2 linked regions of the Elephas maximus indicus genome follow. The protein of the gene in region 1 interacts with the protein of each later gene in a pairwise test. Links are inferred from orthologs where the notes say so. Each region holds a gene or a part of one and is shown in the gene's direction. Other genes may lie near its edges.

The links. The genes of interacting proteins can lie anywhere in the genome.
Region 2: the proteins of CCDC136 (region 1) and NDN interact in a two-hybrid assay, tested with the Homo sapiens proteins (2 studies listed by BioGRID). The link is inferred for Elephas maximus indicus from reciprocal best matches to the Homo sapiens genes CCDC136 and NDN.

The regions. Positions count from the first base shown.
Region 1 is NC_064826.1:21,273,055-21,280,690, reverse strand, and holds the start of CCDC136 (coiled-coil domain-containing protein 136), read left to right. Parts: upstream 1-4,562; 5' UTR 4,563-4,634; coding exon 4,635-4,692; intron 4,693-5,420; coding exon 5,421-5,528; intron 5,529-7,333; coding exon 7,334-7,588; intron 7,589-7,636. UniProt on the Homo sapiens protein: May play a role in acrosome formation in spermatogenesis and in fertilization.
Region 2 is NC_064831.1:99,136,121-99,143,245, reverse strand, and holds NDN (necdin), read left to right. Parts: upstream 1-4,936; 5' UTR 4,937-5,056; coding exon 5,057-6,040; 3' UTR 6,041-6,602; downstream 6,603-7,125. UniProt on the Homo sapiens protein: Growth suppressor that facilitates the entry of the cell into cell cycle arrest.

The DNA.
Region 1 (7,636 bases):
CCAGGGCCCCTAAAGCCAGTGTTAGTAATGAATTGGTCCAACTACTTTATAGAGCAATTGGACAACAGTGATTTCAAAACCCAGTTCTTTTCTCCTTTAAATTTTTTGTTGGTATTACATGTTTTCACTAATGAAGGCACGTTGATTAAAGGACCAATTCGGAGTTTTTCTTATGAGTTGTGGATTCTGATACCCAGTATCCGGATCACATGTGTCCCAGCAGCCCCTGGATGACGTAAATCCTGATGATATGAGTCAATGATCAAATCAGGTTTTTTTAATTTTTAAAATTTTATTTCTTGAACATTTGTACAACATGAAGGCATCTGGCAATGACTGCACATACATCTTATTCTAGTCTCCTTCTTCTTAGCCTTTTTATTTTTCATGAAACTTTTTTAAAAACACGGTACAAAGCATTCTTCCTTACTGCAAAAGTATACTTACCGCCCAAATAAATAACGCCAAGGGATTTTTTATCTCAGGAAAATTAGCAATACAATGCTTTCTTCATTATTGCAAAAGCAATACATACAGGCAAAATAAATAAAACTCAAGGAATTTGAATCTCAGGAAAATTATCACTTCTATGTATTCTTCATTATAACAAAAGCAGTACTAACAGCTAAGAAGCAGAAACAGCTGCCCTGGAACACTGCAGACCCGTTCACAGTGGTGCATTCTACCCGCTACACATGGAAGTAATGACTGGGCCCTAAGACTGAATGCAGGGTAAGAATAACTTATAGGAGTTCCAATTTCTTGAAAAGTACCACTACCCAGAATTATTCCTTATGGGAAAGGCATTATTTACCGCTCAGAAGCTGGAAAAGAAGGGAGCAAGTAAACCCTGGAAACAATGAATGACATGAAGTGGAAAATGGCCACTAGGACTGAATGAAGCCTGGCAATAGCTTACTCGCACAATAAGTACACTCTCACAGAACATGGTAACTGGGAAACAGTGAGGAGGCCTATCTCACAGACAAAAAAGGCAAACCTGTCAAAAGTTTAGAAAATTCATGTATCTGAGAGGCATCACCTAAGACAATGTTCATTTTACACAAAAATGAGGCTCCCACTCAGGACTTCTGAGCTTCATGCATTTCAAAAGGTTCCCACCCTGAGGCTAAATGTGTTAAAAGAACTCCAGAGGCATAAAAAGTGGACGGGATACCATATGCTTCATGGGTCTTGAAAGGGTCAAGATGCATGTATTCTGACCCAGAGATTCCACTGCTGGAATTTCCACATTGTTTATAATACAGAAAACTGGAAGCAGTCTATACGTCCTTTAACAGAAGAATAGATAAATAAATTGTGGTCTATTCAAACAATAAAGTAGACTCCAAAATTAAAAATCATGAATTGGAGCAATATGTCAACACAGATAAATCTAAAATAAGCATTGAATGAAAAATAGGAAGTTTGCAGAAGAAGGTATACAATATAACATCATTTATAGAGGTTTTTTAAAACATACAAATCAATACTATGTATTGTTTGTGGATGCATACACATAAAGTAAAACTGAAAACATAAATGGAAGGGCTCCATCTGAATCCGATGTGGCAAGATAGTAACAACTGTTGGATTTCAGTGGTGTATACACGGATGTTATGTCATTCTGTACTGTACGTGTCTTGAAGGTTTAAACATTCCTATTTTTTTCTTTTTAATGAAAAGATCTAGGCATTTAGAAATAAGGGTAACGGAGGATAAATGGCTGCATCAATCCTCAGAAAGGATGATCCACTGAGATGGGATTAGGAGAGGGGCTGAGTCCTGGTTCCAGGGATTAGGAGGATTAATTCAGATCATCTCCCTCCCAGCTGATCACCTGGCTAACATCCCCACCACTCCCAGCCCTTCAGAGAGTCATCCCGGGACCACATTTCACCCCACCCCGACACCTGCTAAAACCTTTCCTCCTGCCCCCACCCCCACCCCCACCCTCCACTCAGTACTGTCCTGCCAAGATTTACCCACATTTGGGTTCTGGGGATAGACTGGTTCAGGTCTCCTCTGAATGTTCCCCAAGTTCACGGTGAATGGTGACATGCACCCCAGGACCAAATGAGAGATTAGTCCTGACACTCAGGATCAGAGCTCCCTGAGGAAAGCCTGGGTGTCACAGTTAACTACAGCCTCCCCTGTCCCTCCCTCCACAGTCAAGAGGTCAGCAGTCAAGGCCAACTGCTAGCCAGACCCCACAGGCTGAGCCAGAACCAGGAGCTGTGCCGGAGCAGAAGGGACAACCACTGGCTTCCAGCATTGGCCTCTGTATGCCCAGGTCCTCTATGCCCTCCCCCTGCCTACTGCCGGCCCCTTTCCACCCCCTGACAAGTGTCCCGCTCCTCAAATCCTGACAGGTCTAATGTCTGCAAAGACCCTCCTGAAGAGATTGGGTGGGCTTGCTCAACTGCCTTTCCCCAAGACCAGATCACCTTGGCCACAGGATCTGGGGTGGAATCCTGTCCTCTGGGGAGCAGGTGAAACACCTTTGATGTCTCATTGTTTCTCAGAGTACCAGGCTGGGGGTGGGGTGGGGATAGACAAAAGAGTTAACAGGCAACATTTAACTGCATATCAGTGAAATCATATTTTTAATAATATGCTGTATGGTTGGAAAATTTACCTTTAAGTGTCAGGCATTTTGTCTGGTGCTGGCGACACACAGGTGATGGAGATACTTCCATACCTTCAAGAAATTGGGCAGACAGAAAGGTGAAAACCTGGTCTTGTCAATCCAGAGTGAGTGACTGGTGCTGTGACAGAGGAAGGATGACAGGGACCGTGGGATGGCACAATAGGGGCATCTGTGGGGTTGGGGTGAATGTCAGGGAAGGCTGCCTAGACGTGACTCTGGAACAGAGCACTTAAAGGTAAGTAGGGGGTGTCCAGGTGAAGAAGGGCTTCTTCCATGTAGAACATCATGGTGGAGGGTTGTGAACCTGGGAACCAGTGGGGATGAACACAAACAACATATGCCCATGACCTTGTGAGTGGATATGCAAGAGAAGGGATTGGTGCGTGCCCCGGCTTAGGAATTTCCCAACAATTTTCCAGATATATTGGGAAGCCTTAGTTCCCAAGTCGTTATGGGTTAAATTGTGTCCCCCAAAATGATATGTTGAAGTCCTAATCCCTATACCTGTGAATATGACCCTGTTATGGAAATAGTGTCTTTGAAGGTGTTATCAGTTAGGTTAACATGAGGTCATATTGGAGTTAAAAAAAAAAATTGCAGTGGAGTCAATTCCAACTCACAGGACAGAGCAGAACTGCCCCATAGGGTTTCCAAGCAGCAGCTGGTGGATTCAAACTGCTGACCTTTTGGTTAGCAGCCAAACTCTTAACCACTGTGCCACCAAGGCGCCTACTGGAGTAGGGTGGGTCCTAATCCAACATGATTTATAAAGGAGAAGATACACAGAGACAGGGAGACATGTGACGCTGCAGCTGCAACCAAGGAAATCTTGGAGCTGCCAGGAGCCAGGAGACAGGTCTGGAACAGATCACTTCTCAAAGCTGCAGAAGGAATCAACACTGCCAACACCCTGATCTCGAAGTCCCAACCTCCAGAACTGTGAGATAACGAATGTCTGTTCTTCTACGCCACCCAGTTTGTGGTATCTTGTTAAGGCAGCCCTAGGAAACGAAGGCACAAGTGTCCCCACTTCTTTCGGGCTGAGAACTGCAGAAGTGTGAGGACAAACGCATCGTCAAGATACACGAGCACACGGTGACAGTCTCTGAATGAATGAATGAATGAATAAGTGAAATAAGCCCTCTGGACTTCCAAACCGCCCTTTTACAAGAGTGAAAAACAGCGCCCACTCTGAGCAGGCAGCGGGGCAGCGTGGGATGGGGGTCTCAGCTCGCAGCCCATTGGATGAGGGGCGGGGGGTGGGGAGGCAGGGCAGAGGAGAGAGGAGGTCTTCAGGCGCCTCGGGCTGCGTAGGGTAACCGGAGGGGACCTCTCCTTAAGTGGGCTACTGGCTCAGGCTTGGTAGGGGGTGGCGAGGAAAACCCAGAGGGCCAGGGTCCGGGGACAGTTTCATATCCCAGGCCGTGGCTTCCCTCCTCCTGCCCTCAGGGCTCCGGGGTCGAGAGGCCACGGCGCTGGCCTGGGGCGCCAGAGGCCGGGGTCCGCGCCGACTGTGGGGTGGGGAGCGCCGGCCCTGCGGGTGAGGAGAGAAGGGAGTGTCGTGTTTGCGCGCTAGGAGGAAACAGGCCAGGGGCACTGGTCCATCTGTGTCCTTTCCCATTCCATCACTGCGCGCCCGGACACATGGTGGCAGCGGGGTCCCAGCGCACCGCCCAGTCGGGGCAGGACCCACCCCCAGGACCAGCCTCAAGCGGCCAGTTGCTCCCGTCGGCGATGCGGCCGGCCCCTCCCACTGCCTTCGGTGCCGGCACCAGGAAGGCACCCAGCGGGTCGGGGGTCGCCCCACCCCCGCGCGCCCGCCCGTCCGGGTCCGGGAGCCGGGAGGAAGGCGGGCTTCCGGGCGGCGGCGTCAGGTGGCCGCCAGGCCCCGCCCCTGCCCGCCCTCCCACCGCCTCCTGCGCACCGGCCCCGGTCCCCGGCCTCGCGGTGCGGCGTCTGCTCCGGGCGCGGCGGCGGAGTGGCCATGGAGGCCGGCGCCGGGGCCGGCGCGGGAGCCGCGGGCTGGAGCTGCCCGGGCCCAGGTCAGAACCGCCCGCCCTCACTCCTCACCACCCCCCTTCCTCTTCCCGGTCCCCCTCCCTCTAGGCCCCCAGACCCTCTCTCCCTGCAGGACACCCTGCCTCTCGGCCTCGAGTCTCCCTCCCTCTGCCCCGGCCCCCCACCCAGCCCGGGCCCCATCTTTCCCACTTCGGCCGCGCCCTTCCTGGCAGCCCCTCCCCGGAGCCCTCTCCAGCTCACCTCGCCGGCCTGAGAAGGGGGTCCGACCCTGCACACCCTCCGGCCCCGGAGGCTTCTGAACGCGGGGCGAGGGGGGAGGACGGGATTTGGAAAGAGAATGCAGGGGTGGGGGCGGAGCGGCGCAGTCCAGCCCCGCAACCCCTTCCCACAGCCCCCATCACTTGCCGCCCCTTCCCCGAGCTGCCTCACCATCTCGGCCGCATCCTTACAGGCTCCTGCCCTCTGTCTTGCATCCTGGCCCACCTCCTCCCCGTCCCCTGCCGGCTAAATATACACACACCTTCCTTCTGTCGGAGCTAGGAGAGGAGCCCGGAACAGGGGTGCTGACGAGGCAGGCGGGGGTCCCGTTGGCTGAGAGAGGGGAGTCTCAGAGCTGGGCAGAGGGAGGCAGGGACCTCCACTGGGATTAAAAATCCCAGGGCTGAAGGATTGGAAGGCACGTCACCTTCTCTCCCACCACCCCAGGCCCGCCCCTGGCATCCCCCAGCCCTTCCTCTCTGCCTGTTCACAGGAGCAACAGTAACCACATTAGGCTCCTTTGAAGTATCTGAGGGTTGTGAGAGGAAGAAAGGCCAACGCTGGGGGTCTCTGGAACGTCGGGGGATGCAAGCTATGGAGGGTGAGTTTTCTCAAAAGCTTCCCCCACCCCCATTTTCTTTCCTTCCATCTTCCTCCCTCTGACCCTCAGTGCTCCCAGCCAGGAAACAGTCCTTCGCTCAGTTTATCTCAGCCCCCTCCTCTCTTGTCTGAGCGTACCCTTCCCCAGGGCCCAGGCTTTGAGGGAAGTCCTGGGCTAATCTCTTTGGTGCCCCAGTCCCCATCTAACCAGGTTGTGTGTCCCAGGGGAGCTGCCAGACAGAGAAAGAAGCCTTGTTGGACAGAACGTCAAAGGATCCTTTCAGCAGGGGCTGTTCTCCCTGTCAGATCTAAACCCAAAGCGCCCTTATTTTGAAAAAGCAGGCAAGTGGGCATGTGCACTATCTTCCTGATGCCACCACGGCTCACTTCTGATGAAGCTTGTGGCTTTGGTTCTCTCTGGTATCTTACTGCCTGAAAAGACAGGGCCTAGCAGGGCCAGGTGAGAAGGCCAGCCTCCCACCACCCATCTCCCCACTAAACTCAATGTGACTTGGCAGTGGCTGCCAGCCCATGCCCTTGGAAGGATGCTGGTTTATTTTCCAGGACTTCTGTGAAGTGTCGCCAGGCCCCTGTGCACACTCAGTGTGGGCAACCCTGCTCCCCCCATGGAGGACAGGTGATACAGGGGGCCCCAGGTGAACCTCAGGCTCCTGATATCGGAGAAAATAAGACCAGAGAGTCAGATTCTAAAACAAAGCAAGCAGTTGCCACCCAGGCAAGATTTTGCTATTTGGAGGAACTGCATTGCAGCAAGGAGGGGGGGCTCACCAGCCGGAGGAGGGGACAGACACACCCCAGTTTCTGAATGCATTAAAGGATGGACTTCCTTTTACACTCCAGTCCAGCCTAAGACTTCCCCTGAGAACCACCTTGTGGTCAGCAGGAGGAGAAGCCCCGTGATGCCCTGGTAGGACAGGGGGGACCTCATGCCACCCACAGGGAAAAGGAAGGTAGACTTTGCAGAACACTTCAAAAAAGGCTATTTGATAATATACCTTTGTAAGGGCCCCACTGTTTGTCCAGTGAAACATTTAGAATCATTTTGTGTGATATTTTCTTTCTCTACCTCCTTTCATGTAATGCTTTTTACTATGTATTAAAAAAAAAAAAAAGTTGCCATCAAGTCGACTCTGACTTATAGCAGCCCTGGGTGTGTCGGAGTAGAACTGTGCTTCACAGGGTTTTCAGTGGCTAATTTTTCAGAAGTAGATTGCCAGGCCTTTCTTCCCAGGTACCTCTGGGTGAATTCAAACCACCAACCTTTCAGTTCACAGCTGGATGCGTTAATCATTCGTACATCCCAGAGACTCCTTTCTTACCATGGAAAGGCTAATTTCTCACAAGCCACCTGGTTAATTTTTTAACTTTCCACAAACCCCTAAACTAACCCTTGCACCATTTGGCCTGAAGACGTAGCCAATGTCTGAATTATTTCTTAACTACTTGCCCCACGACCCAGAGGCCAGGACTAGAAGAACCAGGTATCCTTGTGCAAGCTCCATATGGCTGAGCCAGCACCAGCCTGCTCCGTTTGCCTGAAGGTAGTAGTAGGAGACCACCAAGTGTAACATTGGTCCAGAGGGCCTGTGAGGGGGAGGGGCTGCCTCCAAACTTGACCCTCACACCTGAGTTCTCACTGGAGCACAGGCCTGCCCAAGGGCTCCTTGGGGGACACCAGGTGGCACTGTTAAACCATCTGTGTCTTGGGATAATGAGTTCGAGGGCCCTCAAAGGGCTGCAAGTAAGGTGGCTCTGACCCCCTAGTGGGATGGGTGTCTCTCCTAGGGGAGGTGTTACTTCCAGCTCTCTATGAGGAGGAAGAGGAGGAAGAAGAGGTGGAAGAGGAGGTGGAAGAAGAGGAAGAACAAGTGCACAAAGGTGGCAGCATGGGCTCCCTGTCTGTCAGCAAGCACCGGGGCCTGAGCCTCACGGAGACAGAGCTGGAGGAGCTGAGGGCTCAGGTGCTGCAGCTGGTGGCAGAGCTGGAGGAGACAAGGGAACTGGCGGGGCAGCACGAGGACGACTCCCTGGAGCTGCAGGGTGAGTGTCTGTGATGGGCTGCAGGGCCTGGGCCTGAAGGCTCTGTTG
Region 2 (7,125 bases), on another chromosome or scaffold:
CTATGCTCTAGATGCTCTCTCAGGGTGATTTCTTACACCTCTTCTACCTTCCAAACTTCTATTTTTAGCCCACGCCTCTTTCCTGGGACCTATATTTCCAGATAGAGTCCCCCTGGTGGTGCAAAAGGCTGATGCATGCCATTGCTAGCTGAAAGGTTGGAGGTTCAAGTCCTCCCAATGGTGCCTGGGAAAAAATCCTAACAATCTACTTCTACAAAATCGGTCCATTGAAAACCCTGTGGAGCACAGTTCTACTCTAACACACATGGGTTTCTACTAGTCGGAGTTGACTCACCAGCAACTAGCTTTATATCCAGATACCCACTGGGCATATCTATTCTATCTTCCCCAGGCTCTCAGAAAATCATCACCCTTCCCACCATATACCTCAAGAAATGGCACCACCATTTCTCAGACTGCACTGCCCAAACTCAGTCATCTCCAGGACAGAATCTTGGTTGTCCCTGGTATTCATAGTTAGCCCCTCATTTTTCCTTATATCTTCTCTACCATCCCTACTGAAAGTCAGTTGCCTCTGTTCCCTTCTCTCTGACAGCATTGTGGTTCCTTCCTGATATGCATCACGATTAATGATTATTTAGTTACTCATTTGTTTTATTGTTTGTGGCTCTTTTCCACCACCACTTCCCATACTACAGATTGCAGTGACCATGTCTTTCTTATTATATCCCCAGTACCTAGCACAATGGTTGAAATTTAGTGTTTAATAGTTGCCATGTGAAGATGAACTGCAAGCTTTTCTCACATGGATTCCTGCGAAAATTTCCTAATTGGTCCCTTTGTCTCTACTTGCCCACCTGCCCCAAATTCCAGACTTAATCCTGTAACCAGGTGATCTTTCTAAAAGACAACCCTGACCCTTACTCTCTGAGTGCTGGCAGGCTGCACTGTGGATCTGGGCAGGACTAGAAGGTCTCCAGTGAACGGTTGAATCTCCTCCCCTGCACTCTCCCAAATGTGGAAAGCAGCACTGCCTATCCTCGCTTCTTATTATTCTCTGACAAAAAAAGGTCTAGCTGCCAAATAGTCCATGATGTCATTGGTTTCCCCCTTGGATTGAGCTACTTTTCTACAATGCAAATCTGTGAGGCACATAACAAATACTGCTCAATAATAATTGCTTAACAAATTAACATGAGTTCTGTTTCAAACCTGTGGCTTGTGAGATCTTTGGTACCCTAGTTGGGGGTCCAAGGTGGATGGTGCTGTCTATGTAGAAAGAAAAGAGCCAGAAGGATTTACTTTTCACTCAGGGCCTCTGGGCCTCTGCACCATGAGCATGCTCTGTCCACTGGAGGCTGTCAGAAGTGGCCCCCTTCCCCTGCTTACTATGGAAACCAATGCCAGGACAGGCCTCTCCTCCTTTCCTAAGCCTGTCTGCCAAGAACGGCCTATCCCACAGCTGTTTAATCTGTTCCACATTATAGTTTGGAATAACCAACCAGCAAACTGTCTACTCCAGAAAATTCTTCATATACTTTCCATATACTTGCTGCATCCCTGAAGCTTCTATTTACAGAATCTTGATTTAAAGAATATCCTTTTCTTAGTTTCTTTGGGGAGATACTATCGTAAGTATCAGGCTTCTGCTTCTAAGCTGCTGCTCCTGAGAAGACTAATTGCCCAGATCAAAAAGGGCAGTCTCGTGGATACCGAGCAAGTCTAATTTATCCCCAACACTCTTGGAACATCGCTGGAGGTCCAGCCCCAAATCTTGACCCTTGGGTTTAAGCATTTGTGCATACCTCATGAGCACTGGTTTCCTATTCTTTCCCATAATGTCAGCTGTCATTTTCCTTATAGTTTTGAATTCTTGCATCTTTAGTTTATGGGTTGGCACCTTATTAAGTAGCTACAAAATCCTTCCCATGGCACATGTGCACGTGTTTTCTCCCCTTAAGCGCTATCCTAAGCTTTACTTTGTTTCCCCATCTTATTGAATTTTCTTCTTATTGGGAAATCGAGCATCTTCATCAGATCTTTTCCTGGGAAGAAAATAACAGTACCAAGGTATAGTTGGGCTTCAAGGGAGAGTAGCACCAGAGATTTACTCTGTACCTGATTTCAAAATTGAGAATCAGTTTTGAGGCTTTAATCTCTCCTAAAATAATCCCTATGTGGTTCTAATCCACAGGGTCTGTAAGAAGTGAGGTGTGAAATGAGCTGTGGCAGAGGTGCGGGTGTACTCTCCAGCATAGCGTCGGTGACCTCACCAGAATGAGGTCCAAGCAGGAACTCAATTATCCAGTCCTGCTCCAGGCAGCTACTCAAGCCTAAGGAGCTTTCTAGTTGAAGATCTGCTATCCCACTTCAGTAATAACTGATTTTTGTAACAGCTGTGCCCAAGCTTGCAATTTGATTTCATCAATTTGCTAAATCTAGGAGGGTAAACTGTGAGGATGTAGTTTTAATAAATTTGCATCAGCAGAAATTATGGCCCATGGTGAGAAATGAGCTGAGATTTAAATAATAGGCTCAAACGTCCTAATTTTTAAGACATTAAATGAACTTAATATTTAATTCAAATAATTAGAAAAATATAAAAATCCAAACTAAAGAAAGAAGAGGAAAATTAATGGAGGTTAAAGTATTATATTTAAGAAGCATAAGAGCAAAAAATCTATACAAGCACCATTCTAAAAAACAAAGAAATAAAGGTATATCATACTTCTGTAAGATATATTCAAGAAAATGTTAGAAATTTATAAATTAAAGAAGAAGCTAAGTGCAAAAAAAACAACTAAAACAGATCTGTATGATATGTAGGAATTATACTCGTGATGTGGGTGGCTAAGAAGTCCTGTTGGAGGAACCCATGGAAGAGTGCTTCTTCTAAAGGTGACACGTGTGAAAGAAAACCCAACGATAAGAATGAGACAGCACAATACACAGTAATGTGCCTCATAACATCCGTTCAGGCAATGTCCAACCACATATCTGACCCTAGCCCCATAAAGTTATAATAGAGCTCAGAAATCTTGATAGGAGAGCCAGACATGGCAGATTTAGGCATATCACACTGGACAATCACCACGATCCTCAAAAACAGAGAAAAACAAACTGTTAAAGGATGGGATCCACTGAAAACTACAATGCTAATGAAAATTGGAGAGGGACTTATATCAGACATAAAGAAATTGGTAATGATGTGGACTGAGGACCAAATACAAAAGCAATCCCTCTCACCACATTGACCATCACTGCTAAGGCACAATGCTTGTTCAAGATGCGTAAAGAAAAACCAAGATCAGACTGTGATATCAAGTCTATTGCTTGCTCTGGGTGGTTCAAGCACTTCAAACAACATTTTTTGCTGTTTAATGTGAAAGTAAATGGTGAGTCTGTGAGTGCTGATTCAAAGGCAGCAGAAGAATTTGTTGGAATCTTTGATAAAGTATTTGTAGAGGGAGGTTATTTTCCCCATGAAATTTTTAATATGGACAAAACCCACTTATTCTGGAAGCAAATGCCTGAAAGGACCTTCATCCATAATATGGTGTACACACAATGTCCCAATCACATAACATCCTATTTCATAGGACATATTGGGGATCTTAAGCGATGCATGACTGTAAATAAATAAATCTACTTGAGAAATAATAAAGTGAGAAATGAGGAAGGAGATATAACCAAGTTAAGAGAGGACTGTAGATATGTCAAGACATATTTTAAACAAGCTTTGGGTTTCAGGTGACAATAGCCAGACCTGAGATAGCATATTTAAGAGGAGCCGCTGATTTGAGGAAACTCAGCAAGGGCTGAAGGACAAAACTCAGCTCAGACCGAAGATACTGATCAATCTCAAGAGCCCTAGTCCCAGGGGCTTCAACGCAGGCCCCTTTTTTCACGGATACGCCCTTGGAGTGTCAGCTTCATCTTTGCCCACTGCCGATGGGTTTTCAGCACTTGGGAAACAAGACCATAAATATGTTCATCTTCTACCTTTGAACATGTGAGAGAGACTGACACATATCTATGCACCCCACATCTAAAAACAATATGAGGAAGGCCTTGGGTGAAGCTCCCAAAGGTGGGACCATTCAGGTGCTGCCAGAGGGTGGGAGTGGGATCATCTGAGAAGGTAGGAGCATCCACATGAACACAGAGTGGAGGTAGAAGTAATCAGGGGTGGGAGTGTTTTGGGCAAACAAGGAAAAATACATTAGCATACAAGCTTGTGCTAATAAATATGACAATCTTTGTATTATAGGAACTTATGGAAAAGTCGAAATGAAATAAATGTAACTCAAAGGAAATGGAAAACCAAAATCAATGACCATTAAAACACTAAGGGTTAGTAGCTTATTATCTCCAAAAACGTTCAGTTTTCACATGGCCTGATAGAGAATGACTTTAATTACATTCTGTGTTTCTCCTTATAATGCCTCTGGTTTGCTAGGGACAACATCAATTTTTATTGGTGTTTCTCAGGATTCCAATCTCAGACACCCTCCTCACAGTTTATACAGTTTCTTGGGCAATCCCGAATGCTCCCTTGGTTTAAATTATATTTATGATAGCCAAGTTTACACAACAGCATAGACTTTTCTCTAGGACTTTTGTATCTAACTTGATTCTGGTGGAATTCTGGTTGAACATTTATTCCCGTTGAACATTTCCTGAGAAACTTGACCTCAAGTCTCTCAAAAGCTTAAGTTATCTTTCCCCATACACCTGCCTCTTCTCCAGCGGCCACCCGCCTTGGCCCCTACCCCCACCTCTCTAGCCCAAACAGGAAATCTGAACTCATTCTTGCCATCTTGCTAGTGGAGGTCTCTAGCCTCTTCCCTGGCACCACTGCAAGACCGCCCCTTCGGGCTCGGCCCCGCCCCGCCCCTTTGGCTCTTGGCCCGGCCGAGGGCCCCCGCCCCGCAGCCTGCAGACGCGCAGGCGCGCTCTCCCGCTCCGCCCCGGCTCTCCGCTGCGGAAGGCGCCGCGCAGTAGCGCGCACTTCCTCTCCAGGAGTCCGCAGAGGGAGCGCAGATCCTAAGAGCTCCGGGACGCAGAGGCCCTGCCCTTGTCAGACAGAGCAGACATGTCGGAACAAAGTAAGGATCTGGGCTACTCCAGGTTTGCAGCCGAGGCTTCCCATGCCGAGGTGTGCATTAGCCCTGGGGTCCCCATGGAGGGTCCGCCGCCAGCCTCTCAGGCCGCCACCCTCGGAGAGCCGCAGAGCCTCCCTTTTAGCCCGATGGACGCCCCCCAGGCTTCGCCTTCGCCCCAGGCCCTAAGCGACGAGGGGGACATGAGGGCTCTGTTGCTGGAGGAGGAAGAAGACTGCGCCTGCCAGGCCCAGAGCGCGGCCCAGGCCCAGCCAGGCCTGGCGCCACCGACCCCTGCTCAGCTGGTGCAGAAGGCTCACGAGCTCATGTGGTACGTGCTTGTCAAGGACCAGAGGAAGATGGTCATCTGGTTCCCAGACATAGTGAAGGATGTCATCGGAAGCTACAAGAAATGGTGCAGAAGCATTCTCAAACGCACCAGCATCATCCTCGCCCGAGTGTTCGGGCTGCACCTGAGGCTGACCAACCTGCACACGATGGAGTTCTCGCTGGTGAAGGCGCTGGAGCCGGAGGAGCTGGACAGGATGGCGTTGAGCAACCACATGCCCATGACAGGTCTCCTGCTGATGATTCTTAGCCTCATCTACGTGAAGGGCCGCGGTGCCAGAGAGAGCGCGGTCTGGAACGTGCTGCGCATCCTGGGGCTGCGGCCCTGGAGGAAGCACTCCACCTTTGCGGATGTGAGGAAGGTCATCACGGAGGAGTTTGTTCAGCAGAATTACCTGAAGTACCAACGCGTTCCATACGTTGAGCCACCCGAGTATGAGTTCTTCTGGGGCCCCAGAGCTTGCCGTGAAATTACCAAGATGCAGATCATGGAGTTCCTGTCTAGGGTCTTTAAGAAAGACCCCCAGGCCTGGCCTTCCCGGTACAGAGAAGCTCTCCAGGAGGCCAGAGCCCTGCGGGAGGCTGAGACCATTGCCCACGCCTTCCGCAGCAGTATTTCCGAGGACTAGCAAGGTCGGGAGGCAGATTGATTGATCTGACCCTCACCAGTGCTGTGGAGGGGTGGGGGGCGTTAGAGTATTCAGGATTTACAGTGCAGTGTTTCACGTGTAACTTTCAGTTTTCAGTACAGTGCTTTTATACCATTTAATGCAATGTTGTATTCATTGGGGTATATTTGCTAGCGTTTAGGATTTATGCATGTTTGCTTATAAGTAAGCTTGCTTCATGCTTTCTCTCTTGTGCTACCTTTCTTGGGTTTTTGTACCAGAGACGTGCTAAACTTGTGAAATACATTGAGAAATTTTCCATCTTATTCTTTTATATGGAAGAGATGATGTATATTGGGATTAAGACTGCTCATGGAGAGTTTTGAAGAACTCTCCAGTAAAGCTGGCCAGACCAAGAGAAATGTCAAGGCCCCTCTCTGTCCTTGCTGGGCACAGGAAATACATCTGTGGGGAGTGGGAGTTCAGTGATTTGAACTGAAGTGGTCTCAATGTGGGTAGTTGGCACACTTTACTGAAAACAAGTACAGTCCCACCATCAGTAAACATTAAAGATCTTGTGATACAATCATTTTTGGAAAAGTGTCCTTTATATATGTTTTAAACAAAGTAGTATTGTTGGTAATGAGACAGCATTGTCAGTTTTACAAAATGTACAGACACAACTTGCTCAGCTAATAGGGTATAAAATCACTACTCATCATTGTCATGAGTCTGTGAAGCTTAGTTTTATTTTTTATGTAACTCACATGTTCGTTTCAGAAACTGACAAATACAGAAAAGTATAAAACAAGCAAAATTGCTCATAATCGCATTGCTCTATTAAATCACAGTTAATAGAGCAATTTCCTTAATTTCATTTTCTACATTTATTAAAATTAATAGCTTTAAAAAACTACGCTATGTTTTTGAGCATTTGAAGAGTGAAGCATTGTACTAAACACTTCCATGTATTTAATCCTCATAACAGCCCTGTGAGGCAGGCACTCATTACATCTGTACCAAGGAGGAAATTCTGGAACAAAAAATCATTAACTTTCTCCAAATCATAAGCTTATTAAGAGGAGGGGTTATAATTTGAATGCAGA